Rhinolophus ferrumequinum: one gene and its partners. The protein of the gene in region 1 interacts with the protein of each later gene in a pairwise test. Links are inferred from orthologs where the notes say so. Each region holds a gene or a part of one and is shown on either strand. Other genes may lie near its edges. The genes, in order: ARL6IP1, TUFM, MYG1 and SNX10.

The links.
Region 2: the proteins of ARL6IP1 (region 1) and TUFM interact in binary tests that used the Homo sapiens proteins (3 or more experiments, as listed by UniProt). The two-hybrid records come from large-scale screens. The link is inferred for Rhinolophus ferrumequinum from reciprocal best matches to the Homo sapiens genes ARL6IP1 and TUFM.
Region 3: the proteins of ARL6IP1 (region 1) and MYG1 interact in binary tests that used the Homo sapiens proteins (3 or more experiments, as listed by UniProt). The two-hybrid records come from large-scale screens. The link is inferred for Rhinolophus ferrumequinum from reciprocal best matches to the Homo sapiens genes ARL6IP1 and MYG1.
Region 4: the proteins of ARL6IP1 (region 1) and SNX10 interact in binary tests that used the Homo sapiens proteins (3 or more experiments, as listed by UniProt). The two-hybrid records come from large-scale screens. The link is inferred for Rhinolophus ferrumequinum from reciprocal best matches to the Homo sapiens genes ARL6IP1 and SNX10.

What each region holds. Positions count from the first base shown.
Region 1 is NW_022680357.1:14,985,304-14,992,766, reverse strand, and holds the start of ARL6IP1 (ADP-ribosylation factor-like protein 6-interacting protein 1), read left to right. Parts: upstream 1-4,455; 5' UTR 4,456-4,572; coding exon 4,573-4,608; intron 4,609-6,765; coding exon 6,766-6,899; intron 6,900-7,358; coding exon 7,359-7,463. UniProt on the Homo sapiens protein: Positively regulates SLC1A1/EAAC1-mediated glutamate transport by increasing its affinity for glutamate in a PKC activity-dependent manner.
Region 2 is NW_022680357.1:1,235,214-1,242,884, reverse strand, and holds the start of TUFM (elongation factor Tu, mitochondrial), read left to right. Parts: upstream 1-4,664; 5' UTR 4,665-4,755; coding exon 4,756-4,798; intron 4,799-4,902; coding exon 4,903-5,097; intron 5,098-5,565; coding exon 5,566-5,732; intron 5,733-5,897; coding exon 5,898-6,002; intron 6,003-6,086; coding exon 6,087-6,251; intron 6,252-6,384; coding exon 6,385-6,517; intron 6,518-6,601; coding exon 6,602-6,706; intron 6,707-6,823; coding exon 6,824-6,975; intron 6,976-7,060; coding exon 7,061-7,180; intron 7,181-7,671. UniProt on the Homo sapiens protein: GTP hydrolase that promotes the GTP-dependent binding of aminoacyl-tRNA to the A-site of ribosomes during protein biosynthesis. Also plays a role in the regulation of autophagy and innate immunity.
Region 3 is NC_046293.1:53,190,302-53,197,317, forward strand, and holds the start of MYG1 (MYG1 exonuclease), read left to right. Parts: upstream 1-4,007; 5' UTR 4,008-4,069; coding exon 4,070-4,282; intron 4,283-4,444; coding exon 4,445-4,557; intron 4,558-6,901; coding exon 6,902-7,016. Other genes in the region: PFDN5 (prefoldin subunit 5), read left to right, coding at 909-980, 1,169-1,271, 1,576-1,607, 2,535-2,609, 2,726-2,831, 3,624-3,697. UniProt on the Homo sapiens protein: 3'-5' RNA exonuclease which cleaves in situ on specific transcripts in both nucleus and mitochondrion. Involved in regulating spatially segregated organellar RNA processing, acts as a coordinator of nucleo-mitochondrial crosstalk.
Region 4 is NC_046303.1:15,185,692-15,193,685, forward strand, and holds the start of SNX10 (sorting nexin-10), read right to left. Parts: upstream 3,003-7,994; 5' UTR 2,964-3,002; coding exon 2,886-2,963; intron 1,151-2,885; exon of another isoform or gene 1,053-1,150; intron 1-1,052. UniProt on the Homo sapiens protein: Probable phosphoinositide-binding protein involved in protein sorting and membrane trafficking in endosomes. Plays a role in cilium biogenesis through regulation of the transport and the localization of proteins to the cilium.

The DNA of each region.
Region 1 (7,463 bases):
TCTAATTCAACTCAAAGTACCCTTGGAAATTGGTTTATCTTAAATGTTTTGTTGTCTTCGGTTTTCTAGAATGCCCTGAATTTTAGTTGATTCCTCTACAAAGTTGTGGAGGCCGTGGAACTGTATTTCTCTGTTTCTTTGGTGTGTCTTGCAGCACCTCCTTATTTTCTGATCGAGTTCTTAACATAGTTTGCTAGATGATTAAGATTCTTTTGTGTCAGACACTTGTGGTTTTTTTTTTTGAGATATGTGAGAGAACTGATAACCCAGCTCTTGATCTGCTTGCCCACATGGCTTCTTTTCAGAGCCCAAGCCCCAGGTTCCGGATGAGGGCTTCTGATACAAAGAAAAACCTCCATCACTTCTGCCCTTAACACTTGCCTCTCTTACCTAAGCTTAGTATGTAGCTTTCTTCATATTGTCCAGTGTTTGGTGTTATCTGCTTTGTTTTTGTTGTTTAATCGTGCCCGTTCTGTCGTGTGAAATTTAAGGAAAGAGCCATTAAAAAATGCCCCGCAGGGCAATGCAAGTACAGCCAAATATTAGAGTTAACGTTCAGTCTTTCTTGTACTATAGGCAGTACTTTCAACTGAAGAGTCTTCCTGGCCTGTTTTCCTCCACACACGTGTAATTACTCCGGGGGCTTACCTTGTTTTGGCAGTCACCAGCTCCTCCTGCTTTTCTCCCCCTTCTTTTCACATTAAAGAAAGCCTGTTAGCCTACAATTAGCCAGTTGGCCCTATTCACCTACATCAGAAATCAGCGGATTCTTTACTATTAGCACATTTAAGAACCTCTGTCTTAGGTAAAGTTAGATGACTGAACACCAGGGACCTTCCATTCTATTCTGTATCTTGAACTTGTAAAGTGCCAGTAAGTTAAAGCTACAACTTCCTTCTCCGTAAATCAAGGAGCTACAATATATCAATGTGAGGGTCACTTCAAGAAGGTAGCCTCTGTTTTCAATATTTGGGTTGTACTAGAAAGATTCGTTCTATGGGAGAAAAGACTAGCATTACAAATTGGTCTGAACCTTGGGGAAGGGACAGTTCACTTTGCTGTGACCCCTAAGGGTTTGTGGCACTTTTTTCTAGGCTTGGGTAACACTATCACCGTCCCTTACGTGCAGATGGACTCCACTTTAGAGCAGCTTTTCAGGTTCCAGGGTTGGTTGTACAGTGGGACCTACTTCGGAGTCGTTTGCCATCCATGGGAATTTGGCGGAGCTTAAGTGGGGAACAGCTCTCTGGTGTGCTAATGTGAAAACGTCATACTACGACTACTAGCTCTTTAGGACTTTGGAAGCTGGTCAACTTTAGGACTTTCATGTTCTGAAATGCAGACTTGTAGAACGTTTTTCTTTGAAAACTGGCTGAATTTTTGTTTTCCTTTTCCTGAACAGTCCCAGGTTCAGCTCCTGTTTCAAGTTCTTGTGTCAGTTGTTTTTCTGGTTTAAATTTTTATGCCTTGTATTTCCATCTGTAATGCCAGTGACCTCATCATCACTCCCTTGTTAATTTACCCTCATTATAAGAGCAAATTGAGTTGAACTGGATCTTGTCCTAGTAAATGTTGTATAAATAAAGTGGCTTCTCTGTACACAAGGTGGTCATGCCTCCTGACGGATATCATTCTGTGATTGTATTTAAGATTAAAAGTTGAATAAATCACACCAGCTTCCTGAAAATGTTCATAATGCATCTTTTGGAAAACAAAATACCTGCCTATTTTGTGCATATTTGCATCGACATGGCAAAGATTGTATGAAATACCTGTTTTTCAAAAAATAAACTCTTAAAAGACATAGCATTTAAGCTCTGAATTTATTGCTTGAAGTAGTTTCCAGAACTTAATTTTGGAATATGGGTAGCTTTTTTAAAAAAAGGCATTAATACCGCCAAAACTTTTTCAACTTCTCAAAAAAGTAATTTGTTCTACCCTTAAAGTTCTATATAGTACTTTTGAACAGCAGTAGAAATTTTACTTCAACGGGGGAGTTCTTGGTATTAAGGCACAATTTATTAAGCTTAATTTTGTTTAACATTTAAAAACAAAACTATAGAACATTATTGATGTGTACATTTCCTGGGGGTGTGAAAGCTCTGAAGGAAAAGTAAAACGTCCAGCTTGTTTTAATGTCTGGAAATCAGACTGCATTTGTTGTTGCTAGATTGTGTTAGGATTTATGTTAACGGTTTAGTCATCTGGCAGGTTTCAAAAGATCACATCCTGAGCGGCTCAGTGATTGGCCAATTTCCTAAACTGTTGGAAGGGGGGGCCACTCAGAGGGGGCATGTCTTGAGCTGTATTATGCAAAGAACCAACTGAGCCAAAACTAACAAATGAAACAGAACTCTCTTAGCCTTAAGAAAGCTATGTACGAATAATTATGTTTACCTCACTGGTGCATTTAAAATGGACTTCCGTTCATGGGAGAACCTTGTTGACATTCACAGTCTGCAGCCTTTCATTGATTGATGTTAAACGTCACAGCAGTCCTTGCTCAATAAAGGTCATATTGGAAACATTAAAAAAAGATCACATCCTGTTTTTGTAGTACAAAAACCAAGCTCAAAAGGAAGCTACACTAAGGGTAGGTGTTTTTTCAGTTAGGCCAATTAGAAGTTTAAAGACCTGATGGCAGTGCCCCTAGGCTGTGAAGTTGCATCTAGTCCTGGGAACACATTCCTCGAGGAAGGAAAAAATACTCCCCGAAGCAAGTGCTGCTGGAGTTGCTTTAATTTTTTCCACCTACCTCAATTTCACAAGCTGGTGTTGAAAAGTTGTCTTTAAGTTGTACATAGGGAACTTGGGTGAAAACCAGAAGTATTCTGTAGCAAAAGCTGATTTCCCAAAACAGACATGTCATTTTGTTGTTTGTGTGGGGTTTTTTTTTTTTTTTTTTTTTTTTTTTTTTTTTTTTGTCACTTTTTAAAGCCTAATAACTCTAGGGCCTGTCCTTTGGGAGTGGATGTTACTGTGCCTTTCGCAAAATTGTGCTCTCAGTGCTCAATGTATTCACTAATTATGTTGCTGCTGTTTGCGACCTTTCATCGTATTTTGAAGAGGTAGGGGAAGGCTGGGCCCTTAAACTTCATAGCTTAAAAATGGGGTCGCTAGATCAACTTGCTGCATCTTACCTACATAACCCATCTTCTGCCCCCCAACACCTCCAAAGTATTACTTTATTGAAGACCCTCTTCCCTTGCTAAGTCTCCCCCCACCAAGTATTTATATCTGATCCAGTTGCTTTATTTTTCAAAGACTTTCTTGAAATTCACAATGCTGCTGTCCCCCTGGCTTTCTTCAGGGTGGAATGTGTTCTGTAGCTACCGTTGCCTCACATTTCTTTTCTGCCTTCTGTGAACTCTCAACCTGGTAGTAAGGAATGCTTGTAAAACAAATTTGAATTCGATCGCATATTCTAGATGACTATAAAACGTTAAAAAGCTATGCTACGTTTTCCTAAAACAGACATCTGACCAGGTCAACATTTGGCATGCCTCTGTTTGAATAACGAAAATCGAAGCACTTAATTCATTTTGAAATTCTGGAGAGAGAAGGCGTGGGAAGTGCCTCAGCACAGCTCAGTTCATCTAGTTACTCAATTGCTTATGAATTCCACTGCTGATGCGAGTTGACACGTTAGCATGACCTCTAGTTGTAAGGTGGTCAAAAGCAGTCCTTTTTGGAGAGGAACCTGGTAGCTTCATAAGCAACTCAAGGGCTTCACACAGAATTTTCCAAAAGACCCCCTGTAAATAAGCCAGCTTTAAAGCCGGTGCATCTTCCATGAGTCCTCAAAGTATGACCCCGATCACCCCGCTACATCCCTCCCAATCAAGCTAAAGCCTTTTCCCTAATAGGAAGGAAAAAATGCAGAAAATCTACATAAATAGCTCTTTCCCATTGTCCTCGAAACCTCAGGAAGTGGGCACGAGTCTCCGAGTCGCAAATCTCGGCTAGACTGGTCAGTGGCATGGCTAGAGTGACCAGAGCAGGAATAAAAAGAAACCCCGGGGGACAGCGAGGGTGAGGGCACTGCCTGGTCGGGCAGAGGATCCCAGACGGCCCCTTTCATTACAGCGCGGTTAGCAAAACATGTCCATCTCTGCTCTCCGCCTGATACTGGGTAGCATATTTCTTCGAGAACTAAATTTCAGGAGAAGTTCCGAGACATACCGTGCCAGCCAACCCTGGGGATACTGAGGCCCAGTCCAGCCCGGGTCAGCGGTCGTTCAACAGATTCCGAAACGCCTGGGCGGGGCATCGTGCATCTCCTGTGCGTTGATTGGTCATGCTGTGTCCCCGCCCCCTCGGCCCTGCGCAGCCTCGCTTTCCTTTGACCTCGATTTCAAGCCATGCGCTGGGCAGCAGTTGGTCCCGCTCCCCTTAAGCTTGAGCTCGCGCTGCCCAATGAGGAGCGAGCTTCGCGGGGGCTGTCGGGAAAGGCGGCCGGCCTATATAAGCGGCTTGCGGGGCGTGTCCTCGCGCCGGGGTCGCCCTTTGGGTCTCGGAGGAAGGCTGTTTCGGAGGGCGGTTTGTGCTCGGTGAGGCGGTATTTCGGGGACGATGGCGGAGGGAGATAATCGCAGCACCAACCTGCTGGTGAGTCCCGGCGCCGCGACGCAAGGGAAAAGGAGTGAGGCTTTTGTATTGTGTTAGGCTCAAGCCGGCGGCGCCGCGGCCCTGGCCCTCTCCCGGTTTCCAGGCGCAGGCGGCGACGCCTGCCCTTTCGGGCTTCTTGGGAAGCTCCTGCGTGGCGGTCGCCAGTCGTATCGTCCCCTAACATTCTCTGGAAAAGGTGCGCGAAGGAGCGAGGAGGGTGCGTGACCAGTCACCGCGAATACGGGTTGAGGAAGTGGGCAAAGGGGGGCTGTGACAAGCCCGGGGCCGAGGGCCTAGGCCCCAGCCGTATGCGGGTTTCCTTCTCTTTGACCTTAATCGGGATGCCACTTCGTTCTTTTGCCCCAAACTTGCGCAGGGGTGGAGGGTCAAAGGGCCGCTGCCGAGAAGTTCGGTTAGAACTGGCACAGCTTGAAATGGCAGGAAGGCTGCGAGCTCACCCTGGGGAACTGGGAGTGGGGTACGGCTGGCAGGACAGTGGGAGGTCCAGGCGTCTGTCCGGAATGTGTAAGTCTGGGGGTCGCAGGACGACTTTAGAATAAGCAGGGGTACGAAGGCACTGGAGTGAGGTTGGTTGTATCCCAGGCGGACAAGTTTGACCTCACTACGATTTTCATGGCACGATGGAGGCAAAACCGAGAGAAATCCGTGCATTTTCTCCGTTGCCTTTCTCCAGGGAAAGGCAGCTGCACACCACAATCACAGTGAATAGAGGGAGCAAAGAATTTAAGTTTGGGCTTTTGATTATCCAAGAGCCCGGGTGCTGACGAATTAAGAGATTTTGCAGGGCGGTTCGCGCGATATTCGTTTTGCATTCATTTTTAGAAATGCATGACTTACCCCCTTACACACACACACACACACACACACACAAATACAAATGCATGAATTACCCCTTTATACACACACACAGAAATGCATGACTTCCTTACACCCCCCGCCCCCCCATAGTTAGCCCCAGCCAGGTTCCTTTTTAGAGGATGATCAAAGCACAGAGAAGTTACCCCAGGTCAGGACTCTTTCCGGTAGAGCAGTGTGACTTTTCGGGAGGACAAGGCTCTTGGCCTTGGATTTCCTGGATTCAGATCTGTTAACGTCTGTGTATTTGTTACAGTTTCCTCATCTGTAAGTGAGGATAGTAACACCTTCCTTTTAGCTTGTTGGGACGTTTAAAGTGTAAGCGTGTAAAATACTTAGTCAAGTTTCTTTCACATAGTAATCTCTTATTTATTAAACATGATATGGGAAGTCAGAAATACTGAGGTCCCCTAGGTGATCAGTGTGGCACAGAGAGCATCTTTCATTAAGATTAAGCTGCGCTGGCTGCTGTCATTTGCACATTTCCCTGTGATAACATTTTTTAAGGACACATGGGTATCTTGTCGCAATGTTTTTTTCTCTGTCAAAATCAGCTAGAGGACTTTCTGCCACATTAGCTCATCCTACAAGTCCACTTGCAGCTGATTGTCAGATTAGCAGAGAAATTTGAAGTCTAACCAAAATGTCCTGATAAACGTGAGAAGCACTATAGAGGTGATATATTGAGCTTAAAATGAGTCATATATTTTGGTGAAAGTAGTTTTTCTTAAATGTGCAAATCATGTCAACATCTAAATGATTCCATTACACAAAGAGCTATTTTGGAAACTGAGTGCTGTTCAGGGAAAGGCTTTCCTAATGGACTTAGAAGTAGGGGTTTAAATCAATGAAATGACAAGACAACAGATCAATTCCAACCACCCGAAATGAACGAACATAAAGTGATCTAATTTTATACTCTGGATACTTTGCTTCCTAGGGCAGGACTTTGGGGGAGTTAGTTAACCATTCTTTACTTGTAAAATGGGGGTAATTATCCCTACCTTGAGGGGCTCAATGAGGATTATGTTGCATCATACCTGAAAAGAGTAACCCAGTTCTTAGACTTGGGAGGTGACCGTTAAATGATAGCTTTTTTCCTCCGTTGGTTTTTGTCATTGGTACCAACATTGTAGAGTATTTTAGAAACTAATTTGTTTAAGATAGTGATTTGATTAACAGCTATTTTACATACTTGGTGCCTTACAAGAATTTAACTTTAGGAACCACAGAAATGTTGAGAGTAGTAAAATGATGGCTTTAAATGTTGATCACATGTAGGCGGAAGAGACTGCAGGTCTGGAAGAGCAGCTGCAAGGATGGGGAGAAGTGATGCTGATGGCTGATAAAGTCCTGCGGTGGGAAAGAGCCTGGTTTCCACCTGCCACTATGGGCGTGGTTTCTTTGGTGTTTTTGTAAGTGAGCTTTTCTGTTCCTTAAGGTTGTGCTTGTTATTAATAAGGGCTTAGGTAATACACAGCCTCTGTTTATGGAGGAGCCTTAAGTCTTTTGTAATGTGTAATCTGTAACAAATGCCTTTTCTTTGAGCCGTTTGCCTAGTTTGCAGAATTTGTAGTACTTCCATAAACTTGGTGACCTAAGTCAGTTGAATAACTCGGTGACTCTCAAACCGTTTGGCCTTAGAACCCTTTACACTCCTAAAAAGTATTGAAGATCCCAAAGAGCTTTTGTCTCTTGGTATTTACACTGCAGCTATGTATGATGTTATGAAGCTTCCAGAAAACCATGTGTGAGAAAATTAGAATGAAAAGGGCAAAATAACATTTTTGAGAACCAGAGGACAAAGTGAATAAACACTTAGGAATAATGGCTATGTTTTTCTAACCTTTGTTCATTTTTTTTTTTTTAAACAGGACTATCTACTATCTCGATCCATCTGTTCTGTCCGGTGTTTCCAGTTTTGTTATGTTTTTGTGCTTGGCTGACTACCTTGTTCCCATTCTAGCACCTAGAATTTT
Region 2 (7,671 bases), about 14 Mb from region 1:
ATGACAAAGCTCTGGGTCCTCGTCCTCATTTTGCCACGAAGTTGGGGGCCAGCCCACTACTCGTTTCGGTGACACCTGGCCCTGCCCTCCCTTGAGAAGTCAGAGCTACAGGAAATCTTAAAAATCATACCGTTTATCCTTGCCACTCTGTCCCCACCTTATGGGTAATACAGTAGAGGCACCAAAAGTTACACTGACTCAGCTTTATTTTAAAAATGAATGTGAATGCACAATGTGCTTTCCATTGCAAACAGCAGGAAACTTAACAAGCCCAACACAAATACCCAACTGCAATGATTCAACACACAATTCCCGTAAGTGTCGGGCACTGTTCTTTGAGTAAAACACAAGTTCTTACTGTCCTGAGACAGAAAAAAATAACCAAACAACCAAGCAAACTAAGATAATTTTGGATATTTAGGTGCTAGGAAGAAAATCAAAGGAGGAGAGCTGCTAAAAGGATGATCTGGGTGCTACTTTAGATAGAAGAGGTGCCATGTGAGGTGGGACTGGAGTGATGAGAAAGAACGAGCCACGGGGAAAGCGACAAGGAAAAACATCTGCAAAGACTGTGAGGTGGAAACAATGGTGGGATGTTTGCTGAACAGCAGGATGGTCCGTGTGGCTGGCAGGGAGAGGAAACGCATACTAGATGGGCTCAGAGGTACCAGGGGCCACATTATGCAGGCCCTGGGGGCCACAGGCCGAGTTTGGATTTTTGATGACAGCTTTATTGAGATACAATTTACCTGCCGTACAACTCACCCATTTCAAGGAGGAGTATGGATTTTATGCTAAGTGTCAGAAGGAGTCATTGAAGGGGGATTAAATTCTGATCCACATTTTAAAGACCGATTTGGCTGCTGCGTGAAGGATGCATTTGACAGGTACTGAGAATAAGAGTAGAAGCCGGGAGGTTCCTTGGAAAAATCGTGAGGTAGCCCAGATGAGACATGGTCCCCGTCTGAACCAGCACTGATAGTGGAGAGAGACGTGTTCACGTTCAGCATATATTTTGGAGAGAGAACCAGCAGGACTGGGTACTGGGCTAGGTGTAGGGTGAGGGGAAGGGAGAATGGTGACGCCGCGTATTAGATGTGTGAGGAAGAGTGAGGGAGAGAACTGAGAATCCTGTTTTGGATGGTTAAGTCCAGGGCACCACACGGTGGCACTCTTCCGTTTGGGAGGCGCATTCATAGTTCAAGTGCCAATATTCAGAGACCGACAGTGGCCAGGCACAGAGGATACAGAGATTAAGGAAGCCCAGTTCTGGCCTTGCCCAAGTCACTCAGTCCCAGACAAGAAATACGTCTCAGGGTACCAAGGGCTGTAAGAGACAGTGTCTGTTGGGACGCATTTGGCTGCAAATAACAGACAACTCTGACCCGGTCTGGCTTAAACAATACGTGTACCGTCCATCATCACATACCACACGGAGTCCAGCCTTCTAAGGTCCTCTTCGCTTCGCCCTCTTCTGGATTTTGGCTGTATCATCACCTGGGAGCAGGATGGGCACAGCAGTTCTAAGCTTCCCATTCAGACCTGGCAACATTCAGAGGCAGAAGGAGGTCCATTTGTTTGGTGTCTCCTTCTTAAGAATGAAGGACCCTTTTTGGGAACCCCCCCTCCCCTGCACACACACACACCCAAGCAGATCCTTTACCAATCACTGGCCCCAAAGGAGTCACCCCGAACCTGACACAAGCTTCCGGGGAAGGAGAATAGGACCCCCCCCCAGAAGTGGACTAGACCTGTCAGGATTTACTCCTGGACAGGAGAAAAGGTCGCCCGGAACAAACTCAGGGCCCTGGCTGCAGGAAGATGGAAAATGGCTGTTGAACAGGAGTGCAAAGTGTCCGAAGCATGAACAGACTTGAGGGGACCTGGAAAGCCATTGGATTTCAAGAGTATCTTTTTTAAAGAGTTCAAGATTCTGCACTAAGAAGTTTTTCTTTAAACTGGAATCACAGAAAACAAATGTTTGAAAGAGAGAAAAATTTCCTCCTCAAAACAAATCCACAGCCTCCTAAGTCACAATGATTTTCGACTTCCCTTGTCCCCAAGGCCCCCAACTCCCGTCTTGTACAGATGCCACCTTCCTATAGTAGCCAGGCTTCCGCTTCATTTAACACTGCTCACAAGCATTTTCACAGGTGGCTGGCTCCTCTCGTCTCTGCAAGTCTGAGCCCATTCACTAATATTTCATTTAGTGGCCGTGCCAAAATTCACGCTACCGTAGCCACAGCCTGGACATTTGTGTTCCTTCTGCTCTTTCACTGGGATATTGGTCATAGGCAGGACTGGACATCTGGGGGAGATCCCCTGGCCCCCAACGTCAGTCAGAATACAGAACATCTGTGAGCCTCCTGATACAAGAACACCGACAAACGAGCTAGGCTTCTCCAATCAGATACCTGCACGTGAGGCTTTGAGTTGACCTGTGTTTGGGGGTGGGGAGTGCGGGGCAGAGAGAAGGTCTCTTTCTTGATGCAGAAATGGCTTCAGTGCCAACAGCAGTAGCTGTTACAGACAAATCTCAGTCCTGGCATGCAGTGTATGGTGGCGTAGCGACAGTTTTCTTATCAGGTCAGATCAGTTCTGTGGCTGGGGCGTTATTTCTCCAGCCCATCCCACAATTCCGGAAGCTGCCTAATACCCTTAAAACAAATCCCTCTTCTGCTTACACCAGCCGGCGTCAATTCTGTTCTCTGTAAATCAAAACTCCTGACTTACAGAGGATGCTACATCAACAGCTCTACAGAATTTTCTCTCCCTTTGGACTTACTTTTCTGAGCACTGTTTCTCAAATCTCAGTTGTTCATGTACCGCCTCCCCCCACATTTGCCATATATACATACCACCTATATTATCTACCAAATAGCGTGTTTAAAATCGATTCATTTTCTTAAACACAGTATTTACTGTGTTTATTCTTTGTTTTTTAACTAACACGCGTTAAAATAAATATAGCGCCACGAAAATGGAAAGCTTTAAGTTTCTTTAAGAAGAAAGTTTAAGTACCACCCCCAAAAAATCTCATATCCCTTAGTGGCCAATAGTGTCTTAGGACAAATTTCCAGTAGGGTGACTGAGATACAGAGTGGGGACCAAGCACACCTTTTTATACTGTACCAGCCCCTCCCTAAGCAGAGCTGATGGGTTGGAGGACCAGAGGGAGCGAAGTGTCAGTATTAAGTTCTTCAGTTTAGATGAGCAGTAAAAGGATAGTTAAACGACAGTTTGGTACAGTAGTCAAGTGTACACTGTTTCGGAATTCAGTTGTATTGGGTTTCTTCATCATCCCCATACGCAGTTTTCTCACCTGTAAAATGGGGGGAATATGGGCCCTACCACACACAGTAACACTGGGAACCAATTCACTGACTGTGAACCAATGGGAAGCATTTGCATATCTGATCCATAGAAGCTCGAGTTTACTGTGTCCCAAACTCTGAGCTTCAGAAGGGTGTGTGTGTGTGTGAGAGTGTGTGTGTGTGTTTGTGTGATACATAAATATGGTTTCCCTGTCTGTGCCCCGACCTTACTGAGTCATCATCTCTAAGCAAGAATTTAGGGAATCTATTTGAAACAAACACCATCAGGTCAATTGAGTCTTAGGACGTGATGAATTGTAGAAACATTAACCAGGGCCGAGCTGCTGCTATTACCATCCCAGGGTGATAAGACGATGGATGAAGGTTATTATATACTATCCTTGCACGCATCCGGTCAGTCAGCAGATATTTACTGAGCACTCACTGGGTGCCCCGTCCTGTGTGAGATGCTAGGGACACGGTGGGGACCAGAAAGGCTCCGGTTGCTCTGAAAGGTCCCTGAGGCTCACCCTCAGGTGTCATTAGGGAAATTGTGTGGGAGGGTGGGGCGACGAGCAAGGGAATTACTCCCGGGGCTCCTGAGGGCCATAGGGGTAGACGGCAAAGCTTTGTCTGTCCCCGCAGGCTGTGAGCCAAGAGGGTGGATATTCGAGAGTCAAAGACTGGGGGACCTGGAGGCCCCACGACCCCATTCCTGCCTCCTCCCCAGCTCATTTCCTTTCCGAGCCAGACGTCAGGATCTCCGTATGAAGTAGATATCCCTCCTGTAGTCTCATGTTACAGATAAGAAAAGAAAAGCGCAGAGGAGAGATGGGTCACAGTTGAGTCCCACCCCCGAAAGGCGCCCAGGACCGTCTTTCTCAGCCTGGCCGCAGAGCCTCGTCCTACCTGCAGCTGCGGGACAAGGGCCGCCAGATCTCTCGTCTGACCCGCGCAGTGGGTCGGACACCAGGGGGTTCGCGGCCAGGACGTTCCTGAGCAGTCCGCGCCGGGGCCCCCTCCCTCTGGACCCGGTCTCGCCCTGCCTACCTCCCACACTAAGCGCAAAAACAGCCCGCCGCCCTGGGAACTACAACACCCATGAGGCTTCGGGGCGCTGGTGCATTATGGGACGCTCGCTCTACACCGCTCCCCAGGGCCGCGGGAGAGAACTGCGTGGACTTTCTCCCCCCGGGAGGCCGAGTGCGTCGTGGAAACCTCTGTCCTTCCCCGCCCCGAAGACACCAGCATCTACCTACCTTGACATTTTCCGTCCCGCGCCCGGAAGTCGGCGAGGGCCATAAAAACTGGTGGCTAGAGGCGCCGGGATTTGCCCTCCGGGCCCTCACTTCCGCCGGAAGTGTCCTGCAGTCGCAATTGCCCTTTCCTCATTGCACGCGCGGGCACCCGGTACCGTCTTCGGGGCGGGCGTACGACCACCATGGCGGCCACCACCCTGCTGCGCGCGACGCCCCTCTTCAGCGGTGAGGGGGCGGGGAGGGCGAGCGCGGCCCAGGAGCACGTGGGGGCCGTCAGGAGTGGGCCGGGCTCGGACCCGCGCCCTGACTCCAAACCTCTGCCCCGGCAGGTCTCGGCGCCGGCCCGACCCCCGCGCTGCAGGGTCTGTTGCGGTCGCTGAAGGCCCCGGCCCTGCCCCTTCTGTGCCGCGGGCTGGCCGTGGAGGCCAAGAAGACCTATGTGCGCGACAAGCCCCACGTGAACGTGGGAACCATCGGCCATGTGGACCACGGCAAGACCACACTGACCGCGGCCATCACGAAAAGTAAGCGGGGTTGCAGGGGGCGCCTCGGCGGCGCCCGCTCTGCCAGCGGGAGGGACCTGGGGCCGGGGAGGCGGGGCCAGCGGAGGGGCCGCTGGAGGCGTTTAGTGGAGCCGCAGGTGCCGGAGCTCGGGTGGCCGGTGGGTTGGAAGCTGTTGCAGGAGACAGCTTTCCCCTCCCGTGAACTTCTTCGTGATGGCTGCATTGGGGGGAACGCTGGACGGCCTCCCTCCCGCCGTGGGGGCTGCTTTGTAAGCGGAGGCTTCGTTTTACCCTCGAGAGGTCGCTGGGCAGGAGCTTGAGACCCTTGCTCCTGCTTTTCTGACTCGGTTACCTCTGCTGGAGGAGTCGAGGGGAGGGGACCACCCTCCGGGGCTGTCCGCGTAGGGTGAGGGGCCCAGGGGTGTGGCCCGCGCCCGGCCTCTCCCCCTGGAACCGCAGCTGAGAGGTGTGTTCTCCGCCCTCCCTTAGTTTTAGCGGAGGGAGGCGGGGCCAAGTTTAAGAAGTACGAGGAGATTGACAACGCCCCCGAGGAGCGCGCCCGCGGTATCACCATCAATGCGGCCCACGTGGAGTACAGCACTGCGGCCCGCCACTACGCCCACACAGACTGCCCGGGCCACGCAGATTACGTTAAGGTGAGAGTGGGGCTGGGGACAGCGCCAGGAGCGCCTGCCGGCAGGAAAGACGGGAGACTTGTGGGGAGGAGGCTGAGATACTCAAGACGTCTAGGCTTGAGACCTGTAGGGATGTGGACCGAGGAGATGGCTGAAGTAGGTTGTTTCTTCTCTTCCCGCACCCAGAATATGATCACAGGCACCGCCCCCCTCGATGGCTGCATTCTGGTGGTGGCAGCCAATGACGGTCCCATGCCCCAGACCCGAGAGCACTTATTACTGGCCAAACAGGTAGGCAGAGCCTGGGTAGGAGTGGAAAGAGGAAGAGTAGGGAGCGGGGCCGCTTAGGACCCCATGTCTCTTTCCCGCCTGCAGATTGGAGTGGAGCACGTGGTGGTGTATGTGAACAAGGCAGATGCCGTCCAGGACTCCGAGATGGTCGAGTTAGTTGAGCTGGAAATCCGGGAGCTGCTCACGGAGTTTGGCTACAAAGGGGAGGAGACCCCTGTCATCGTGGGCTCTGCGCTCTGTGCCCTGGAGGTGAAGGCAGCCAGGCAGGGGGCTGCTGTGCGTGGCAGAGAGGGTGGGGTGGGCAGCAGAGCTGTGCTGAATCTGGGTGTGGTTCTGGGTAAGCAGGATGGAAACGTCAGAGTCCTGTCACCTCCCCCCGTAGCAACGCGACCCTGAGCTCGGCCTGAAGTCTGTACAGAAGCTGCTGGAAGCCGTGGACACCCACATCCCTGTGCCCACCCGGGACCTGGAGAAGCCTTTCCTGCTGCCTGTGGAGTCAGTTTACTCTATTCCCGGTGAGAACCGTGTCCGTTCGCATCCTGTCGCCCTGGCAAGAGCCTCGCCCAGGGTCCCTGATGGCCTGTCTTGTTCCCTCCCAGGCCGGGGCACGGTGGTGACAGGTACGCTAGAACGTGGCATTTTGAAGAAGGGAGACGAGTGTGAGTTCCTGGGACATAACAAGAACATTCGCACGGTGGTGACAGGTACCAGAAGCCTGGGGGTCCCGGGGCTGGCTCCAGGGTGACGGCTGTCCCTGCAGATGCTTTGTGCCTCCCCTCTGCCCCAGCCCGTCCTCCCTGGTCTCCCCTGCTCCCTCCTAGGCATCGAGATGTTCCACAAGAGCCTGGAGAGGGCAGAGGCTGGCGATAACCTGGGAGCCCTGGTCCGCGGCCTGAAGCGGGAGGACCTGCGGCGGGGCCTGGTCATGGCCAAGCCAGGCTCCATCCAGCCCCACCAGAAGGTGGAGGCACAGGTGAGCCCGGAGGGTGGAGGTCAGGTGGGCAGGGCTGAGCCCATCCGGAGAGGCAGAGCTTCCAGCCACGTGCTGTCTCTTGCAGGTTTACATCCTCAGCAAAGAGGAAGGAGGCCGTCACAAGCCCTTTGTGTCTCACTTCATGCCCGTCATGTTCTCCCTGACGTGGGACATGGCCTGTCGTGTCATCTTGCCTCCAGGGAAGGTACGGGGGGCTGGGGAAGGTGAAGGCGCGGGGTAGGGGGCGCTCTTCGTATCAGCTCTGCACTTACAGTTCCGGAGACGTGACAATATGGGTGACTTTGCCGTGGGCGGAGAGGCTGGCAGGTGACACAGATGAAACTAGCGATGGAAGGGTCTGAACCCACGGATTTGGGGTGAATGAGGCCTGATCCAGTATTCCCTGGGCTTAGCTGTACTTGCATTTATGCACAGAAAGGCTTGCAGAAGGCGGCTTCTCTTGAGTTTCACTGTACGCAGGGCTCAGAGAAGTCCGAGACAAGGAAAGCTGCATAACCCCGAATTTCAGGCTGTGTTCTCAGGTGCATTCCTGTGACCCTGTCCCCGGCCCCCTCTGGCCTTCGCCTGTGCTCTGTACCTGCCTGACAGCTGGGAGGAGCCGTCCTGTCACGTTGGCTGCGTTTCCCAGCAAACAGGTGGCGGCAGAAGGGCACCCTGCAGGCCGCGGCTGACCTG
Region 3 (7,016 bases), on another chromosome or scaffold:
AGAAGCCGTATGACTGTTCTACCTCCCATACTTCGATTTAACCCTTAGGATAAATATTTTAAGTGATTTCCCCCAGTGTTTTATATGAAACATTATCTTTTAATTTAACTTTAATATAATAAAGACATATTACTTAAACCTTGTTTTGTGTAGTTCATCTGAAAACATTTGAATATGACGGGTGCCTCTCCACTCTCCTCCCACTATGTGGTATTGTAAACGGAACAGTTTGCAGTTCAAGTCTGAGAGTATTGGGAAGAAGGGCAAAACCACAGGACAAAGCTGGGCCTGGTTTGGCCTCAGATTCTGTGGTCTGCTGCTTATGTGTGACTTTTCGCTCCCCAATTAAATTGTTAATCTCAGAAGCACTGATCGAACACATTCATGTATCCCTCACATCTAGCACATGGTAAAACATTGTATTTACTAATAAACCTCGTGCTGTAGTTGGTTGATAACTTGCCTCCTTATTGTTCTCTTCACCAACAGACTCTCCTGCTTCATCTTCCCAAAGCACCACTGTCCCGATGCTACTTACTCCCCTTGACCCAAGAACTTCACAGGCGTCTTCCTTGCCTGTCAGTCACTGGGTTTATACCGCCCACGTGGAGTAGCAAGCATTGCTCTGCAATATTGTGGTTACAGCCTGAGTACTTTTAAGATTTTTAAGTTCCTTGAAGGCAGGAGTCCTGTTTACTACAACTTGACTACGCCAGGCTTGGGATGTTTTATGAAAAGAACGTGCGGCTATCTTCTCTAATCCAAGGCGAGATTCCATTTCGGGACGGAGGATCATAGAGATGTTTGGCGCAGCGACGCCTCCAGGCACAGCCATCGAGATGCGCAGAGGGACAGCTAGAGCGTCGCTCGCGAAGCCGGCTTCCGCTTTCTGAGTCTTCCTTCCCAATATGGCGCAGTCGGTTAACATCACCGAGCTGAATCTACCGCAGCTGGAAATGCTCAAGAACCAGCTGGACCAGGTGGGGACGGGCCCCAGAGATACTCCTTTCCCGCCTCACATCCCTCCTGTCCACGCGTACGCCCTCTCCCCCCCCATTCCTCCCCACTTTGGAAGGCTTCTCTTCCCCTGCGAAACCCCCACCCCTTCTCTGGCGGTGCCCCCCCCCCCTCCAGTCCCTGCACTGACCCTCTTTCCTGAACTCTGTAGGAAGTGGAATTCTTGTCTACGTCCATTGCCCAGCTCAAGGTGGTACAGACCAAGTATGTGGAAGCCAAGGATTGTCTGAACGTGCTGAACAAGCACAACGAGGGTATGGGGTAGGCGCGCGAAGGCAACCTGGGGGATGTGGTGAGCCGGCTTCTCTCGTCCCGCCCCTTACTCCAGTCTTCCTTATGTGAGACGAGAAAACAATTCATTACGTATTATGTACTGCAGCGTGAGCCCTTTGCATGTTACCTATCCAGAATTGAAATGTACGGGACATTCCTCTGCTCTTGCCGCCCGTTTCTGTTCTTTTCATACTATCTGCGCTGTGCCATATAGGAACTCCCTTCAACCTCTTAAGGTTGGAGCTGCCAACCTTCCCCAGATGTTTGTCTTAATTGTTTTCACAGGGAAAGAATTACTCGTCCCCCTGACGAGTTCTGTATCCTTTCTACAGGAACTCCCTGCCCTTTCCTTTCTCCCTCACCCCTGCTCCGCAAAAAAGGCGTGTAGTTTTGATGACTCCAGAGTGCCCCCATGATTCTGAGAACACTTACTATATGCCCAGCTCTCCTATTTATGTATAACCTGGGGCCGACATGCAGCTAATGCCTTGTGAGCACCAAAGAGCATGTAGAATTGAGGTGTGATTATTTCCCTTTGCTGTTTGAGGATATAATCTAACATGGAGATAAAACTGGTGGTTTACGCTTTTACTAATAACTTAGAAGACATAAGCCATAGAAGGGTAGAATATAGGAACAAGGGAGTTGGCTCTGTTTATTAATCCTCAATTCAGCGTAATTGTGGCTCTTAATTCCTAAACTGTTACTAAGAAACCTGGATTGTGGCTACCTGTTGATTGTTTTACTTGAATGATCAGGTTACCACAGTACAGCACCTGCAGTCTGAGAACTGACAAGCTAAAACAGAAACACGGAAATAGCAATGTAGTAGGGATTGGCTAACTAATGAACATTAAATCCATCAGGAATTAACTAGTTCATGGTTGGGGGTGTTGAGGGGAAGTGAGACCGGCTTTTCACTTTTACTACTCTACTTACAGTAGGAAAATACTGTAGTCTCTCTGGAGGGACTAATGGGAAGAATTGTAAACACTGCTTGGAGGGTGGGGGATGGGATCAGGGCAAGAGAGTAGTTCAGTGTATGTCGTTTTCTCCATAAGGAACCAACTTCTCTGTCTCTCCACATTTGGAGTTTATAGATGTTGTTCTAAGGCCTCCAGATTATTCAGTCCCTGTGCCTTGTAGCTTTTTAGCAAAAGAGGTTCTTAGGAGGCCAAGCAGGCTTGCTGATAAGGAATCATGACTCATGCTGGGCTAGTTTTTCCTTAATCCTTGCTTCTCAGATGTATGTCCCTGGGAAGCTACATGATGTGGAACACGTGCTCATCGATGTGGGAACTGGCTACTATGTAGAGAAGGTGAGTGGAAAGAAGCATGTGGATGCCCCTCTAAGCAGGGAAAGGGAGTTTAGGGGAAGATTTAGAATGCAGCATGGGGTGTCCTGTTAACCCCTCATCCACCTCTGACCTTTTAGACAGCTGAGGATGCTAAGGACTTCTTCAAGAGGAAGATAGACTTTCTCACGAAGCAAATGGAGAAAATCCAGCCAGCTCTGCAGGAGAAGCATGCCATGAAACAGGGTAAGCTTGGTATGGGCACCTCTTGACCCTTTCTGCCTCCATGATAGACAACATGAATTGCCTTGAGAACCACGGGGGTGTCCCCTTTGCTGGATTAAAACCATGTCTTTCTCTTTGGTGTCTTGATGTGTTGTTCTCTAGATTCTGTGCATTACATACCCACTATTTGTAGATACTTGGGTTGGGTGCTTGAGAAATTTAGAGGAAGGAATTCATGCCTGTGTTCTTGCAGAGTTCCTATTTCATGGGGATGGAGTGAGGGAGGAGATCCATGTAAATGAACGCACAAGAAATAAATATAGCCCTAAGTACTAGCAATTGCAACCTGGCTGTACATTAGAATCACTCAAGGAGTTTAAAAAGCCTGGGCCCACTCCAAACCAACTAAGTCAACCTGGGTGGTGGTGGTGGGGTTGAGGGCAGGCAGGGTTTCCAGGGTTCAGTTTTTTTCAAAAAAAAAAAAACACAAAAAACTCCCCAGGTGATTCTTTCCACAGTCAGGATTGAGAACCATTGTCCCAAAGGCAAAAATCTTTCCCACGTTATAATTTTCTGGTTATGTCTGATTCATTTAATACTGCATTTTGTTCATTTTTATATCCCAGTAGTTGTCATATTTACTGACACATTGTAGACTCTAAATTTGTGTGTGTGTACCCCACAGTGGATCACTGTTCAAAGTTTTATTAATTGTAGTTGGTCGTCTACCTGTCCTTAAAACTTCACTGTCATTTTTCTTTAACTCTGGGTTCTCCCCTTTAGCACCTGACCAGGGTCTTTTTTTCCCCACAGCTGTCATGGAGATGATGAGCCAGAAGATTCAGCAGCTCACAGCCCTGGGAGTGACTCAGGCTGCCAAAGCCTGAGAGCTTGTTTCAGAAATGGGGCAGAGGGACCTGGGACTTTTTTGGAGGGAAGAGAAGGGCTTTGGATGTTTAATGCTAATAAATGTTCCACCTGGGCAGAAATGTTGGTCTTTTCTTGCATTAAGCCAGGGACTGGTGAAGAGCTGGGAGGGCAGTGGTGGAGGGGGTGTGCCTGTCCCCAGAGCCTGAGGCAGCGCTTATTTTGGAGGCTCCATTCGGACCCCTGGAGGAGCGGGAGAGAAAGCCTGCGCTGCGTACCCTGCCCGGCCTGCGGGGCCGGTTGCTGTGGGAACGGCCGCTAAGCGGAAGTGGGGCTGTGCGGCCGCTTCCCTTTCCGGGTCGGTGCCCCCGCCTGCGCGCGGGGGAAGCTGCATGGACCGCGGAGTTCTGCGCGGTCTCCTCTCGCTGCTACCTCCGCCACTCCACCAGGTGCGGCCTCGCATGCTGAACCCGGAGTCCGTGCCGCCCTCCAAGCGACCCCGCAGCCGCCTCATGGCTGCGCCCCGAATCGGAACGCACAACGGCACCTTCCACTGCGATGAGGCCCTGGCGTGCGCATTGCTGCGTCTCCTGCCGCAGTACCGGGTACAGCCTGCCAAAAACGCTGGGGCTGCCCGCCTTTCCTAACGGGGTCCTGGGGTAGCTCGGGCGGGCGGCCTGAGCACTCCTACCCTCCCCGGCTCCCGTGGGAACCTCACATTAACCCCCGCTGCTCTTGGCAGCCCCCTCACCTGTGTTCCCCTGCAGGATGCGGAGATTGTACGGACCCGGGACCCCAAAAAACTAGCTGCTTGCGACATCGTGGTGGACGTGGGTGGCGAATACGACCCCAAGAGACACCGATATGACCATCACCAGAGGTGGGTTCCCAGATACCTTTTCTTCACGTCAGGTTTTCTCAGTGCTCCAATGCAGCCGTCCGTGTCAGCAAAGGGACTGCCTCATCCTAGACAGCAAACTCTTGTGTCCCCTGAGGCTGCAGCCCTCCATCCTTCTAGCTCTCCGCCTGCTCTGCGCCCATCCACCTGTCCTTGGACCTCCCTGAACCCTTGCATCTGCCCGGGCCGCCCTTGGCTCCCAGTCAGTCCGTAGGCTCCTCACGGCTCACCTCCTTCCTTGGCTCAGACTTTTCTCCCACCAGCACCGTCGTCAGGCCAATTAATACCCCAGCTGGGACTAATCCATTCATGTGCCTTTGCTGCCCCGGTTCAGACTGCTGCGCCCACGTGATTGTGGTGGTTGGTGGTAGTTGGTGTGTGTGGTCTTCGCTTTATTTACACTCTTCCCTCGGGAAATCTGTCTTTTCCAAGGGTACCCCATTATCCACACTGCCATGCCAATTCTTTTCTCCTCATGTCCCTACCTCATCAAAATCCCTCAGCGAGTCACCCTGCCTCTTACTTTTCCAAGGAAATTTAGTTCCTCCTACATGCATGTCCTGTTTCCCACTCTCAAACATCCTCAGCTCCCTCCTTCCAGTTCAGGAAACACTGTTCCCTTGTTTGCCCCCTTTCCAATCTATTACTTTCTCCTCTTGGACTTCACAACGCAAGTCTCCCACCAGTGTTTCTACTTCTCCTTGCTGGCAGCTTAAAACTCCGCTCAGGCATCTCGCATCTTAAAAACAAAGGAACAAATCAAAAAAAAATTCTCCCTCATGTATACCTCATTGTTTACAGTGGTTATCTCTGAGGAATTATGAAGATAAATTATTTTGTTTGAAGTCTTACGTATTTTCCTCCCTCTTTTGTTTAAGTGTACATATTATTTTCATAAATGATGTTGGGAGAGAACCCTCCAGGTATTTACAACCTAATCTCTCACCCTCACTTCTCAGTCAGTCTTCAAAAGAAGAGCTGACCCTAGCTCCACATCCCTTCAATTCATACCATTCATTCCTTGGTTTATTCATTCAGCTGGTTCTCTCCCAATCTCTCCATTAGACATACTCAAGGAAAGGGCACCAGTGACCTCAAAACCAAACTCAGGTTGCTGGCCGAACATTTCTGGACTATAAAACATAAAATGAACACTGGTGAACCAATGTCCCTACCTAAGATCTGTAACATTCCCGTTACCTTTGCGTCCGCACCTTTCCATGTGCTTCTTCCCTATCCTACCCCCCCGCACGCCTCCCCCAGAAGTAAGCAATATTCTGAATTGTGTGTTCATCATACCCTTGTTGTGTATAGTTTAGCACGTCTGTTGCCAGCAACAATTTATTTGGTTTTGCTTCTGTTTGAACCTTATCTGGGGGAGTTTTTGTTATGAGTCTCTCTATATATACCTTATGAATATTTTATAATTCTTTTTGTATTTACTCAGTTTTTAACAATAAAGATCATTACAACAAAAAAATAAGCTCCCTAGGTGATTCTGATGGACTGGCATTTAGAAATTACAGCTATAATTTCTACTTCCCTAACAACTGTCATACCTTTTTCCTATTCTCTATCCCATTACTATGCAAAGTCCTGCCTTTCTCGCATACCTGGACCACTACAGGTATTCTCCTTGCATCTGTTCACCATGCTGGCTGGCACAATACTTTTTCTAACATGCACTTGCCTGCTTAAAAGTCTTTCAGTGGCTCCCATTACCTGCAGATGAAGTCCAAACTCCAAAATATCGCATACAAGGCCTGCCATGATTTGGCCCCTGCTTACCCTTCCACTTTCTTTTGCTACTCAACCCTCAAACCCAAGCTGCCTTTCTTGCAATTCCATGGAGACCTGTCTCTTAGCCATTGTACATGTTATTCCTTCTACCTGGAATACCTTTTCTCCTTCACCCACTAATTCATCTTTCAGGAATGACCTGCAAGTTCTCCTCCTGAACCCTTCCTCACCCCCTTTCTGTTTATAACCTAGCTAGAGCATTCGCTTGGCTGTTTGTGTGTCTGTCTGCCTCTAGTAGATGAACTTGAACAGTATCTTATTCATTTTTTATCCCCAATGTCTAAACACAAAGCCTGGCATGCAGTGAGCATTGAGTTAACCATTGTCAAATGAATGCATGGAGACTCCAAGCCGAGGTCCATGTTGACCCCTAAGGAAAATCCAAAGCCTCCCCAGCTGGGCTTTCTCTTCCCAACTCCTGCAGTATTCCCCAGTCTTCCCACCCCCACTTGTGCCTGCACATGCATGCACACTGTGGGTTAACTAGGGCAGCTCCGCCTCAGCGCCATCTCCCTGTGCTCCTCAGGTCTTTCACAGAGACCATGAGCTCCCTGTGCCCTGGAAAGCCATGGCAGACCAAGCTGAGCAGTGCGGGACTCATCTATCTGCACTTCGGGCACAAGCTGCTGGCCCAGTTGCTG
Region 4 (7,994 bases), on another chromosome or scaffold:
AAATGTATACAGAATCACAAAACCTTAAGCAAAGTTGAATCATTTAAAGAACTAAAAGCATCTCCTCTGCAGAGACTGGGAGGAGGGGATGGTTATTACGTAAAAATAAAGTGCCATTTAAGAGTTGCGCTTCACTGAGTCCTGGCTAAGCCCTTTACATACATTCACAGAGAAGAGTACCCACTCCAAGGCCAAGCTGCCTAGTTCAGACCTTGGCTGCAGCATTTAGTAGTTGTCTGACTTAGGCTCAGTACCTCAGTTTCTTCAACTGTAAAATAAAGGCAGGGGCGGGAATAAAAACATGACCTAGCTCAAGGACTGTTAATAGACACAGGGTATGTAAACAGGGTCTGGTAACAAAGCCCTAAATAATTATTAGCTATGACAGAAATCTGGGACACACTCGCTGGGTGGTTAAAATTGTGAGCTAAAGAGATTAGGGGAGTCATAAAGATCCTGATGCCTTAGTTTCCCAGTTTAAATAAAATCTGCTTCATAAGTTTGTTGTGAGGGTTAACGAGACTGCCACACCAAACCTCTTTTCACAATGCCTAGCACATAATAAGTGCTCAAAAAATTTCGGCTATTGCTATCAATCATTATGGGAGACAAGGATAATCATCACCTTTTTACATTTCTGAATAAAGCATAGATGAGACCTAGAGAGGTGAAGCGCCCTGCTGATAGTACGTCAGCTAGCAAACAACTGTGCCAAGATTTCCACTGTGATGAGTCTGAGACCAGAAGTTGTAACCACTACCATGTCCAACCTCTTATTTGAATAAGGCTTAGAGAACATAAGAGCTGATGAATACCGACTAGATTACTTCTAAGAGAAAGAAAAAACTTGTGATAACCGTCCAAAATTTGAGGTATTCTCCATGGAAGTCAACCATGACTTTGGCCAAAAGTTCTTTTTTGCCACTATTAGAAATGAAAGACTGCAAAGGCTGGCCCCTGCTCTCAACCAGTTCTACGCCCTTCACAAGTGGTTGTTAAACTACAGCCCTGCCACCCAGAGGGAAAACAAGCCATTTCCCACAATAGCTTACCTAACCCAGTGAGCCCTTCAAAATGAAAGTGGAGATCCTCAGGCTCAGGAAAGACATCATGAGCGCTCCAAAGTCACGGAGAACTGCTGTAGTACACCAGCGTTAGTCTTTAATGAATACACTTTTACTTGGGAAAGAAGGAAGGTGTTTATTTCTAGTTTGTCAGATACCACGCTCCACGATGTCTTCGTAAAGTAAAATAAGAGGAAGTTCGTACCACAGCCCAGCGTAGAGGGAGAGGAACAGCAGGCAAGAGAGACCTGGTGAGGAGCGGTGTCACCTAAGCAAGTTCCCCACTCTTACGACACCAACTTCCTCACCTAAGTGAGATAGTACCCTCAAAAATAAGAATGCAATCGACTGGCAGAAGAAACAGCACGATCCAGTTAAATACAAGTCAGTGCTAATCACTGTACTTCACACCTTCGTGTATTTACTTCTGCATGTATTTTATTTTTGTATCTTTATTCAAAACAGCCCTATTAGTCAATTTTAAATCTACCATGCCAAGAAAGGAAGGAAGGAAGGAAGGAAGGAAGGAAGGAAGGAAGGAAGGAAGGAAGGAAGGAAGGAAGGAAGGAAGAAAGAAAGAAAGAAAGAAAGAAAGAAAGAAAGAAAGAAAGAAAGAAAGAAAGAAAGAAAGAAAGAAAGAAAGAAAGAAAGAAAGAAAGAGGCCTCAAGAATGATGGCAGAAGCAGCAGAAGCGATTAAGGAGCCCCAGCTAAGCTTGGTCAATGGCTGGAGCAGCTGGTTCTCACTGGTGGCAGCCACATCACCCCCTCTAGCCAACGGGAAAAAGAGAGTTCATACATTCCAAGCCTACACGCACCCCATGCCCCCAAAGGCGGTGAGAACTCTGCAGAGAGAGAACCTAGGCCTCTTTCTGCTCCCTTCTGGCTGAATGACTCCCCTCCCCAGGCCTTAATTATCCTGTCACTAAAATGAAAGGTTTGAATGAGATCACAGGAAAGCCTCCTTTCTGCTCTAAATTTCTAATTCCCATATTCTTACATATTAATGCTTCTTGCAGAAATAGAAGCCCTTCCAAAATGGAGTCACTTATGCTAAGCCCCACGTCACCAGAGACAATACCTAACTTAATTACAGTTTCTGCCTCTCCCAGGAATGGATCTTAAATCAGGCAATCTGGAATGACTTGGTCAGTCCTGGTGAAGTAACCTGTTTGACAGACCCCTGCCCTCCCCTAAGGAAGGTTTCCTTTCCACAGCCAATCATCGTTTTGCTAGTATAACTTCCATGTCCCACTCCCTTCTGCCTATAAAAGTCTTCCATTTTGTACTTCCTCGGAGCTCCTATCTATCTGCTGGACAGGATGCTGGCCGATTCATGAATTATTGAATCAAGGCAGTAAGATCTTTAAAACGTACTGTCGGATTTTTTTTTTAAAACACTTTCAAGCAGGACATGTTGCTCTCAATATGTGACCATTCCTTCCAATAACCCGTGTATAATCTTAACACAAGTATGAGGCATCAGAACTGAAAAACTGGTCGTTGCTTTCCTGTGGCACCAAACCTGGTACTCAGTCAACGAGGTTTTTCTCTAGGGCTTTTTCCCTCAATCCCACAATCCCACGAAAAACAAACCTGCCCACCCCTCCCAATCCCTAAACCCCAAGCTCCCCTTTCACGTATAACAGCATACCCACCCAAACCGGGCCCGGTGGCAGGTGCCACAGCACTTTTTCTAGCATCCAGGATTCCACCTCTGCCCCACCCTCTCCTCTTTTTACCTGAGAACCCCTGGATCAATACGTTCCAGGCCCCCCCCCCCACCCCCCGGCAAATGACCATTTCTTCCTCCCCTGCCCACCTCGGCTGGAAAGGAGGCAGCTGCCCTGCTCCGATCCCAGAAGACCCAAACCTCTTCCCAGCCCGCAGGGAGCGGCATCTGGGCACCGGGAAGGGCCCCACGCCTCGGGAAAGGCACGGGCAGCCGGCGCGCCCCACCCCAACCCCCGGCTGCGGTCCCCACCCCGGCGGCGCAGGGGACACCTCCGCGGGAGGTCTGCTGTCACTTACACGCGGCTCCTCCGGGCTGTCAGGCACAGGACGACTGGCGGGCTGCGGAGTTTGCTGACTCAAAGGCGCGGCGGCGGCGGCGGCGGCGGCGAGCGCCCAGGAGCGCACACGAGCGCAGCCCCGCGCACCCCGCGCACGTAGCGGCCCCGCGCCCGCGCTCACCGCCCGCCGCGAGGCCTCGGGCTTCCGCTGAGCCGGCCGCCGCCACCACACTGCCCAGCCCAGGTGCGGCCCCGCGTCGCCCGCTGCGCCCCGCCCTTCTGCCCGCCCGCGGAATTGGAGGCCGACCCTGGGCGGGCGAGACTGGGGCGAGCGGTGCAGCCGCGGGGGGGCGCCGCTGGGCCGGAGGCCAGATGCCTCCTCCCGTCACTGAAATCCGGCTAGGGAGAAAATACAGCAGCTTGCCTGGACGCTGAGGCTGAAGGTGGCAAAGTGGCACCCTTTGGAATCAACACATGAAAGCCACCTTGAGCTTGCTAACCCCGCCCCCTTAGTTATGGGGAGGATTGATTAATGGGGAGAGGTAGAGATGAACAGAGCATGTGATGAACAAAGGTGACAGCTGTTAAGAGTGGAATCCAGCTGGTGGGCATATGGGTGCGTACTATAAAATACTTCTACCTTTTCTGTATGTTTGAAATCTTTCACAATAAAACTTTTTGGGAAAAAGAAATGAGATCTGTCAAGGGGCCGGGATCAGTAAACTATTTTTCAAATGGCACCTTGGGCAGTGCCTGTTTGCATGGAAAATAAATAACTATGTTACTGGTTAATGTACTTACTATACTATACCTTTTTTATCATTATTTTAGAGTGTACTCTTTCTACTTATAAAAAAATGGTTTGCTATGAAAAGTTGCCTGCCACAGCCTCATGCATCTCGTGTTTACCGCATCTCTTAATTGCATCATTTTCTCTTGCTTGACTTAATCCCATGTTGTTCTGTACAGTAACAGGCTGTACAGGCTTGTAGCCTGGGAGCAGTAGGCTACACCACAGAGCCTAGGTGTGTAGTAGGCTAGACCATCTAGATGTGTGTAAGTGCACTGTGATGTTTGCATTAATGATGAAATCGCCTAACTACTCATCTATCAGAATGCCTTCATTAAGCAACATATGACTGCAATCACTGAAATTACTAACTGGTGACTACATAGCAGAATAATATTTCATTTTTCAGGCAGCCTAATATTTCATTTTTCATGCAAGAATTTCCCCCTTAGATACAGCTGGCTGCTGACTATCATTCAGGGCCATCCCACGCCACCTGAAATGTCCATCCTCCTCACCTAAATTGGCTTTGCATAACAAGGCTTCCAAATCTACAATGTTATGTCTTAATTTCTTGAATCCTGAATGTGCATCACTGAATCTTGAATGAGGTATTTAATTTCCTAAAATTGCACCCAAGTCACAGCACACAAGTGAATGTAAACATAATCGCTTTTGAAAGTCAAAAGTGTATTTTTCAAATTCTAGTCCCTATGGTCTGCAAAGAAAAACTGACTGGAAAACAAAACGCAGGAAGTGTCTATGGTCCTAAAAGATTAAGCAAAATTAAAATCTTTCTGAATATATTATGATCCAGAACATAACCATACAACTGTGGACAGAGCAGCAAAAACCTTTGGAGAGTCTATTGGAAGTCCTTTAAACATGTTAGAATTATGGCCCTAACAGAAAAGAAGACTATGAAAGGAATTCAGAGTAGAATGGAGCAATAATGGGTTATTTTAATCCAGTCCGTTAGTGTAGCAGCTGCCTGGTGTTTCTGGCTTAAGAACTGTAATGTGCAACCTGAATCCAGGGGACTGAGCTAAGTGACTGCCACCTTTTTTAGGTTGTGACTTTTTGTCACCAGTGGGCAGGTAAACGGAGACTCTCTGGTGCTCAAGAAATCCTAGTCTGCTAATAAAATCACCATAAAATTGCTTTCAAGAAGAAATTATTTTACCTGTCCAAATCCTGCCTCAACAGTGACTTCTACATTAAATAGGTTCAAACCCCAGCTTTGCCACATCTCACTCTGTGATCCTGGGAAAAGAACAAACCTTCTGGGCCTCCTTTTCCCATCTGAAAAACGGGGAAGATCATAATAGCACCAGCCTCATCGGGTTGTTGTAGGTGTTAAGTGAAGTAACTCAGGTAAAGCTCGGAGCTGTGTTGGGTACATAGAAAGTGTTCAATAAGTTGTATTTATTATAACTGTTATAACTTGATCCTCTTCTCTAATCCCTTCCATCTCCAAGCTAAGTGCCCTTAGTTAGACATATTAAGGAAAGCCACCTCCGTCCCCTGCCTGTAACTCAAAAGTCAGTAAGAAGCACATAGAGTCCTTCCTTCATCTCCTGGGAAAATAGCAAAATCCACTGACAGTAAAAACTATCTAGAGTCAGTGTTCAGAAATTAAAATTACCTGATACTACGTATATATAACATTACATTAAAAACTCTAAATTTACATAAATGGTCCTGTTTTCTTGAGGAAACACTATCATGGTAGCTATTCATAATGTACAAGAAATGGCTTTTATTATTCATCAAACAACTAATAACGGGAAGTGAGCAAAAAGTTTAAACAAATAACAAATAATTTGGATTTCGATTCCTGATCTTTACAATTATAATCTTTTTTCAATAGTATGAAGACATACAGATTAATGTGAATAAAAATATACACTCTTGGTTATCAATCTAATGTGTTTTTTTCAAAATACCTCTCTTATGCATCCCTCCCATAACAAGACTAGCAAAACGTTTTGAGCCCAATTACCTATTTGTTAGATAAAGGGATATAGATTTCTCATCCATCTACCTACCTCTCCATCTTCCTTACTTCTGTTAGTAGACTACTAGTCTCTCAATTAACTCCAAACCTACTAACTTTGACACTTTGCCTTTGACCTACTCCCTTCCCCTGATCCACTCAGGTCCGAGTCCCAAACATTTTATGTGGTCAGATCTTGGTGTTATTATATCTTCTGCTTTCCGTTCTCCTGCCCAAACTGACTCTCTCAGAGTCACAGTGGTTTGATTTAGTGGTTTTCAAGCATTTTTAGCTATGGGATCCTTTCTTCAAATGAACTCCATTTATAAAATAGAGAAAACAGTATTTGAGTACTATACATTTATTTGAAGAATTTGATTTTGTAACAACTGTTTATCATAAAGAAATCCATGACCACCGGAAGCTGCTTTGTTGAACACCAACATTTGAAATCAGGGGTTTGTTAATGATTGTTGGAATATCCTATCAGTGTCAACATCCAATTTATTTCTTAATTCCATTGCTCAATATTGAGAAAATTCTAAACTACTCATAGAAGTCTTTATAACATTTGTAAACAGTTTAAGATTTTTTTTTTTTAATCTAAGCCACTCAGAAGTTTGAAAGAAGAGTAGTTGAATTTTTTGTTTCAAAGATGAAATACTGGAGCTTTTTCTGCCATGTGAGGACACGGTGAGAAGGCACCGTCTATGTACTGGGAAGAGAAAGCTCACCAGAAGGTGACCATGCTGGCCCCTTAGCTTGGGCTTTCAAGCCTCCAAAACTGTGAGCAATAAATTTCTGTTGTTTATCAGCTACAAAAAAAAAAAAAAGATGAAATACTGGAGACTAGACTTTAGGTGGCAAGCACACAACAGGCTATACAGATGTCGTATTATAAAGTTGTACACCTGAAATTTATATAATGTTATTAACCAATGTTACCCCAATGAAATTAATGTAAATAAATAAATAAATAAATGGGGAAAGAATGAAGCACTAAGAAGAACACATTCTCATGCTTTATCACCAATAGAAAATGCTGGTAAGAAGACCAACATTTACAGAAAGTGCTAACATGTCAATAATGGGAAATACGGTCATGCAACATGCTATGTGTTCAGTTGTCTTTGCACAACAGCCATAAGAAAAAACAACTATGTTTCTCCTTTACTCTCACACTACTACCATACTCGCAACACTTCTTACACCAGATGTGTGGTGGGTTTTCCATGCGTCAAGCAATTCTGCAACACCAGCTGGATATCCTACAATTCAACTCAGTTCTAACACTGAGCTATAGGTTGAATAAATAGGCTAATAGTTTCGATAATGATTAGCATTGGAATTAGGGGAAGAGGGGTCCCTTGTGGTAGGAAATGGGCTAGGGAGGCTTTTGTCTTGTGGCGGAATCCCAGGATTACGGTCCCAGCTCACAGAGGAATAGCCATGCCCAGGTTTATGGATAGTTGTGTGGTTGGTGTAAAGGAGATTTGTTGAGCATCAGATCCCACAGTTTAAGTGGTCAAGACTGCCCCCACTTCAGATGCCAATCACAAGCTCCAGGTTGTCACCTGTACTTCTGACCCATTGGCTATAGATCGGTGTTTCCATGACCCCCTCCTGGGGTTTAATAATTGCTAGAATGGCTCACAGAACTCAGGAAAACACGTTTACTGGCTTATTTTATAACAAAGCCTGTGATAAAGGATACAGAGGAGGAGGTACATAGGGTGAGGTCTGGAAGGGTTCCAAGCGCAGGAGCTTCTGTCCCCATGGAGTTGGGGTATGCACCCTCCCGGCATTTAGATGTGTTCACCACCTCAGAAGCTCTTTGAATCCCTACTTCCAGGATTTTTATGGAAGCTTCTTCATGCTGGCATTATGGATTGTTAATGCAGTTTCCAGTCCTTCTCCCCTTCCTGGAGGATGAGGGGTAGGGTGGAAAGTTCCAGGCTTGTAATCAAAGGTATGGTCTTTCTGGTGACCAGCCCTCATCCTGAAGCTATGGAAGAGCCCAAGAGTCACCTCATTAGAACAAAATTCTCTCTGAAGGATCTTGGAAATCCCAAGGGATTTAGGAGCCCTGTGTCAGGAAACAGGGACAAAGACCAAACATTAGAACAAAAGATG